Linked DNA regions of Drosophila melanogaster. Changing the gene in region 2 together with the main gene of any one other region gives a genetic interaction. Each region holds a gene or a part of one and is shown on either strand. Other genes may lie near its edges.

What was found.
Region 1: of Abl (region 2) and ena, changing one suppresses a phenotype caused by changing the other (phenotypic suppression), as found in Drosophila melanogaster (5 studies listed by BioGRID).

Annotation. Positions count from the first base shown.
Region 1 is NT_033778.4:19,153,080-19,156,833, reverse strand, and holds the start of ena (enabled), read right to left. Parts: upstream 1,614-3,754; 5' UTR 1,360-1,613; coding exon 467-1,359; intron 1-466. UniProt on the Drosophila melanogaster protein: Functions, together with Abl, trio and fra, in a complex signaling network that regulates axon guidance at the CNS midline. Required in part for robo-mediated repulsive axon guidance. May be involved in lamellipodial dynamics.
Region 2 is NT_037436.4:16,645,844-16,649,597, forward strand, and holds the start of Abl (Abl tyrosine kinase), read right to left. Parts: upstream 2,040-3,754; 5' UTR 1,301-2,039; coding exon 967-1,300; intron 1-966. UniProt on the Drosophila melanogaster protein: Arm and Abl proteins function cooperatively at adherens junctions in both the CNS and epidermis; critical for embryonic epithelial morphogenesis regulating cell shape changes and cell migration.

The sequences.
Region 1 (3,754 bases), on a different chromosome or scaffold from region 2:
TGAGTGGAAAACCCAAATGAAAATCGAAAAGTGCCCCGCAAATGGCCAGTTAAATGGGATGCTAATATAATTGAGCCACTGGAAAATCGCTTTGGGAGCATTTTCAATATGTGGCAGGTGAAATTTTCTATGCCTTGGGGATTTATTCGTGCGTTAAGCTTAAGTTTTTAAACTGCAGCCGAGTGCAAGATGCAGATTCGTGTGCACACGATAGCGTTTTCCAGCTTAATTGGCGTTAAATTATAATTATGATTAAACCGGAGAGTACGACGGCGGCTGCTCTGTGGGGGTTAAGAGTTCTTTGATTTACGAACGATCTCACCAAGCTGTAAAACGCATTCAAAAGTCCAGGGCCAAGTACTACGTGCTGAGATTGAAGAAGTATAGTAGAGAAAAGTGGGGAAATATGGGAATTATTACAGAACCCAACCAAGGACAGACGCATAGGGAAGTGGGTTACACATACGCAAAAATCGTTGTAATGCCCCCAATGAATTTATCTTTGACCGAATTATGGCGACGTTGTAATGTGTAGTGTTGTTTCTGCTGTTGTTGTCGGATCAGATAATGATGTATGTTGCTATAGAGATGTTGCTTGTGTTGCTGCTGTGCCTGCTGTTGTTGCTGCTGTGTCGATAGTGTTGCTGTTGCTGCATTTGCTGCTGCGGCTGTGGCTGCTGTTGCCGTTGTCGTTCTAATTGAAAACGACATGGAACAGCCCAGTTTGGAGGGTTGAGTTTTTGAGGGTTGGTTCGGATTCACCGAGGGATTCGAGGGCGAAACGCATTTGCGCAAAGTGGAAAAGATCAGAGATGAAGAGGAGGATGGCGATGGGGATGAAGTTAGGGTAGATGAGCTGGCTATAGATGTGGCTGCAGCACTTGATGATGAATCTCTTTGCGCTGCCGTTGGTACATACAACATCTGATCCTGCTGCTGCTGAGATCTCTGTGGTGCCTCATAGATGGGTCCTGCCTTTGGACTAGTAGCCTTGGGTAACTGCAGCACCAACTGCTCGTGCTCATGGTAGCGCTGCCTCAGCTCCTGCTGCTGATAATGATGGTACATGGGATGACGATAGTCCAGCAAATCCAGCTCCTGCAGCTCCTCAATGCTGTAGTACTCCGACTTGGAGCCCAGGCCGCCGACTGGAGGCGACATCTTGTGGTGCATACTTTGGCTGCGGCGTATCATTAGCTCACCGGAGTGACCAGGTGCCACCACCTGGAACTCGCAAATGCCATTGCCCGGCTGCTGATGCTGTTGCTGGTGGTAGGCCAATATCGGAGTGGAATTGGCGGCACTCGATGGCTTCTTGCTGGTGAACGAGGTCTTCGCGTAGAGCTTCTTCATGGCCATTAACCGTTGGCCAATATTTGCAGAGGCGTCACAGACACTAAACAGATCCCACGATCGATCCCACACTTAAGCACACTATGAAACCGAACGATCGGATCGGATCGGATGTATCGTATTTATGTTTGCCTAGGCTCTTGGATCTTGGCTATTCGCTCTCTGCCCACTGGTCACTGATCAGAGATCACCGATCACCATTCGTCGTTCCAAGATCTCAGCTGCACACGTCTGAACGCACTCAAGACCCGCTGGAGACTAAAGCCAAGATCCAGACCGAGATCGCGACTGGGTCTCAGAGACCGAAACGGTCTCTCAGTCGAGGCCAAGACAAACAAAAGCCGAGAAAAAAAATATATCTAAAGGCGAATGAGCAGAAAAGACGTGAGCGAGAAACTGAGTATCGGCTCACAATCTGTATTTTTCTCTCATTTTAGCGGCTGCTGCGCTTTGAATTCGTCTAAAAGGCAAATAATTACACTTCAAAGTCAATAAAATAATGAGAAATGATGAGATGTGCTATGGATGTTGAGCTGGATTGACCCCGAGCTGGGAACCGAGCATAATGGCCAGGTAGATGGAGAGACCACAACCTGACTCACAGTCGCTTCAGACGATTCCCAAATGGCATGACAATTAAAAGACGTGAGGGCAAGTAGTCTGCATAGAACCTATTGAGAAAAAACGTTCTCGTTTTACACGATTTTCGTTGAGGGAAGGATGTAAGATTCAGATTATTGAAAGGCGATTTTATTTTAATACTCAAAAGTTTATATTTTGAGAAGTTTTCAGGCACTGAAACAGAGTTTCAAGCAGTTTCCCTAAAATATGCAATATCTTCAGAGAGCTACAATGATACAATGAATTGTAGGGCATACCCTTACAACTTTTCGCCTAGCTATGAAATTGCGCAAGTTCCATCTCAAATTTCTTATGCAGTTTCGAAGGGTATGCGATAAGCTCTCGAATCTTACAAAGTTGCGCCCGAGGCTTTTTTCTGCCGGCAATCTTGAAGCCTCGCCGACGTCTCGTGACCGTCGTTTAACCAGTTGGTCAGTCTGTCCATCCGCCAGTTAGTCATTCGGTCAGTGTTTGTGATTCAGTAAGTTGGTTCCGTCCGTCAGTGCGATAATTACTTAAGAAACGAGCTCAATAATTTATATTTCCCCCTCGAGTGACTATTACAAGTATTTTTCCCTCGCTCGCTGCGTTTTTGTTTCCTTCATTTCAACTGTTCTTTGGCGGCGAAAAGCGGCGACGGCGGCGGGAAATGGGGGGGGGGAGGTACCTGGAGGCACAGCTTGTAGCATGTTATGAAAAATTCATATACAACATTGTCTATCTCAACTTGGAGCACTCAGCTCTCAGAGATCTGAGCCTCTGTTTCTGACTCGCTGGCTTATGTTTCAGTCTGATTCGGTTTTTTGCCCCACAACAATTCCTAAACGTTATTTCCAATTAACATTATTGTGGCCCATTGTAAGTGGTTGTGTAGTGGCTGTTGGTGGTTCACCGATCTCTGATTTGAGCCAACCGATTACCGGCTAGCTTTAATGGCTCTGTCAGAATGGTTCAGTTCGTTTTTTTTTTTTACCATTTTTGTTTTGTTTTTTTTTTTTTTTGGACCAGAGCGTGTGCCGCGGCTTAAATGATTTGGCAACTAAATATTTCTAAGGGGCACTACGAATGCGAGTACTGGAGTAATCCATATGGCTGTCCATAAAGACCCGCAGGCAGACATCGGACTGGAAAAAAAAAAATCATAAAAACAAACAGGGCCCACACATGTGAGCAGCGGAGTCACAAAGTAGGTTGCCAGGCAGTCAGGAGACTCAAAACAGTTTGCCCATGGCAAACATCAAGAAGTGCTGGGGGACAAGTGGGGGTCTCAATCAATATCGAATATCACTGCGCGATGAACTCGTCACGGGAGGAGCGCTTCCTGCCGTGCCTGCACTGCGAGAAAATCCGTGCTCAGTTAGTTTCAACATTTATGTTGATCTTATAAGGTGTTGCAAACCACAAATTCAGAAAGGAAACTGTAAACGAATTTGTTTATGATGGTAAAAATTTAATCTAAAATACATTCATTCACATTTTTTGTACACCAACTTTTTTCTTAACTTATAAGTACCGACCAAAGCCTGGATTTGGGTCACATTGCAGCACCTCATCGCAGACCTTCCATTCCACTGGCACAGGTGACGACGATATGTTGGGATCCATTCAGCTTATGGATACCGACTTCAATCAAGCTCGTAGCCAAAAGGATTAACGTTGAACGTTCCGACGAACCACTCATATTTACTTATTTACATATATCCACATTCGTGGTGACTTAAACTCAAACACAAATAAGACCGGGTAAACTCAGAACTCGTTTCATTTTGTACCGGTAAAC
Region 2 (3,754 bases):
AGCAACAACAAGTATGAAACTAGCCGGCAATAACAACAATAATTTCCTATATAATCGGAAGAAATGGAGGAAAAAAGAAATTGGCTCAATTGGAAAGCAGCGTATATAGAGGAAGGGCGGGGATCATAAAGAAGGAGAGAGGGGGAAAGGGAAAGCCGAGTGGACTGCACTTTATGAACAATAAATACAACACTGTGCAGCCCAAACTGGCAGATAAATCAAAACTTACATGATATTTACAAAAGAGATTTAATGGCAAGAGCACGCTTAAAAAAGCATTTTTTTATTGAAAGTACCCCCATTGAATAAGTTTTTAGTTACTGATTTCTTGAATGTCCTTAAAAACTGTTGTATGGAATATCAAAAGATTTCATCACGAATTGAAATGATTGTGGTGGATGTGAGATAACACAACTCTGAGCAATTGGCAATACAGCAACAACAATTTCCATGTATAATAAGAAAAGTCACAATACTATGATGGAATTTACACCTGAGTTTGGAGGCTGCATGCAATTTTTTACAATTAGTGTGTAAGTGAATGGGACCTCCAAATGTATGCATGTTTGTGCATCCTCTGACTTTTATATGTATGTTACACAACACTTATACAGATCGATTTGGTCCAGATGATTTCTACGATTGATGCCTTTTTAACTCAAACTACAATGTGCAAGAAAATAATTCTAAGATCCAATGTAAAAGAAGAAACACCAATGAGAAATAAGTCAAGCTTACAGAAATCGAAACACAAAATGATCAAACCACTAAATAACTTCGAATAGAAAACAAAATTTTAGTGCACACCTAATTTTATAAAAACGATTTTGATTGAGCGTGCACTATGTACAGACGTTTTTCGTTTAATTTGACTTAACAAGGCTTTCAAATTTTGAAAATATGCTTTTTGCTCTGTGTACTTAGCATGCTTTCGATGCCTGTTTTCCAACACTTGCAGGAACTTACCGTTATGCTCGGTGAATATGTTGAGACCCACGGTGGGATTGCAGCGTGCATCCTTGTGTCCGCCACTACGCTGGCTCAGCCCCGATCCGGATCCGCCACCGCCTCCGCCCGATCCGCTGCCACTGGCCACGCCGGAGGACGAGGACTTGATGCGGGAGCCACGGAGCGTGGAGCCCCCGCCGAGGGGGGCGCTGCTGACGCCGCTGGAACTGGAGATGCAGTGGGGGGAAACGGAGGCCACTGGGCTGCTGGAGAGGCCGATGCAGCTGACGGGGGCCCCCGAGCCGCCTCCTCCCGAGTGGGCGCCCCTGTCCTTGCCCTGCTGAGCCCCCATTTGCCAGTGGGTGGTTGGGTGGTTTTTCGCTCTTGCGCAGCAACAACAACTTGTACACTTTTCTCTCTCTTCTCTCGGCTCCTGCTGCTACGGCTTATTCGCTTACTACTACTACTTATTATTTGCTTTGCTTTTCTTGTTATATACTTCAGCTTTAACTCTTCTCTCTTGGCCTTTTGCTCAATTATTTGCCGTTTTGCCTTTTGCTTTGCTTTAATTTATTTCACACACACACACGCACACATTTTTCTTTCTCTTTCTGCGTTTTTGGAGTAGACAAAAAAGATTGGAGACACTCACGCACACACAGAAGTACACACGCACGGAGGAAAAAGGAAGTTTGCGATTTATCTGATTTGTTGTTCTAGTGGCCGCTCAGGTGCAATTGCGAATTTGCAGCATGTTGGTAAAATGTTGTGTCGGCAAACTTCTTGTCGACGGCTGGGAGGCTGGGTGAGCTTAACTGGCGAGGGGGGTCTCAAAAACACGCCCTGAAAATGCACTTTGTCTTGCGCCTCCGCCTCTGGCTTCACCTCTCTCTCTTGCTTACGCTCGCCTGCTCTGTTTTTTACGGTTTAATTGATCCGCAGGCTGATCCGCTGAACATGGCAAATTAATCGGTTTTCGCGACGATATAGCTCTATCTGATCTGCTAGCGTTGCTTGCTGATTTATCTACATCTGTGCATTTTTTCCACGCACCGCGACGGATCGAATTGGAATCCAACTTGCACTCGTGTGACCGCTTGTCGGTCGTTTAAACATACCCTACTTGGCAGCATACCGATAGACGTATCGATATTGATAATAAATGCTTAGTACTTACGAACGCGTTGGCAGCGCTAGTTTGGTAAGAAACTCGGCTAATGCAATATGATGGGTGCGCGACACGGACTGGTTGGGTGGTTAACTTAGCTTAGTAAGCCAGTGCTTAAAAACTCCATGATTGTGAACACTAATTTTTGGTTGTTCAAAAAAAAATTAAATTCAAACGTTTAAAACACATAATTTGAATTAAAAGAATCTTGATATAGCTTTCTAGGAAAAGTTTATTCTCTTTAGATTTTCAATGCAATGCAACTTATAACATTATCTTTAATTTTTCATGGATACACTTCGAATTTTTTCGACTATTGCGTCAACCCTAGTTTAGTTTATTGATTTTAAGAGAAAACTGACTCAAATCAAAATGTAATTGACATTTAAAAACATCGAATAATCAAGCTACGGTTTTTATAATATGCCTTTAGATGTATTCATAAATTCCCATTTAGCCCGACTAATAAATACAACTGCAATACTTTCCATCCTTTTCCGTTTGTTACGTTTTATTTATCCGTTGGTTTTGTTTAGCATTCTCAATCTTTAGTGTTCTTGCTTAGTTATTATTTAGTATGTATACCCGACAGAAATTTCAAGTTTGTTCGTTTCAATTTCTCTCTCCTGCTAGAGTTCAGTATCAATCGATCCTTCTCTCCATTCACACGATCCTCCTTCAGCTTCTGCTCCGATTTCATTTTCAGTTACATTTTCCTCGCTTACACTAAATTAACTTTTCAAGTAGGACTTTTGCTTTTCATTTTCTCGGTTTTGCTCTTTCACATGCGATCTCTTCTGTTCTGTTCGCTTACAAGTATAAATATAATTTAATTTTTCTCTGGTTATTATTATTTTACGTTCTTTTTTTTTTTTTTTTTTGTTACGTTCAAGGACTTTCTGTGGCTTTGTTAAGTTACCAAAAAGCAGCAAGAAATTTGAAGGAATATTCAAATGCATTTAACACAGGTTAACTAAATAAATGCCTTCCCCTAACAGAATCGAACTTTTTGTATTGCAGCATGACTGACACACTGGTTAAAACTATACTGACTGACTGGAATATATGTTAAAATTTCAAAAATATTTTATTGGTGACTATGACAATGCTTCGACTTAATCCAGTCAGTCAGCAACATTTTATCAGACGTCTTTTCGACTGTTATAAATATTGTTTGTTCTTACAGATTTGAAAACAGTTTATTACTTTACAATAACAATTTGCGCTCTGGATCTTGGAACAATAGACTAACTTAGTGTTTTGTTATTGGTTGGTATTCCGTTTTCACGTGTTTAATATTCCGTTAATATAGGTTTTTATAAATATATATGCGTATAGACTTAGAAGTACAAAGTTCTCAGACCCCAACTACAAGTGATTTTAGGAAAACAGTTCTCCAGTAAATCAAATTCAATTTCAACCAAAAATGCCTGTCGTTCAAGTATCGCAAACTGTGCGATATCCAAACTGAAGGCAGGAGTCTGATCCTTCTTGAGAATTTTAACTAAAATTGGGAGGCAACACAAAATTCCACCCGAGAGGTAAATTATAGCTGACAACGCAAATATCGAAATACATTCAGGGGCTAGTGGAAAACAAAACATTCATTTGGCGCATGTCAATAACACCGGAAATATA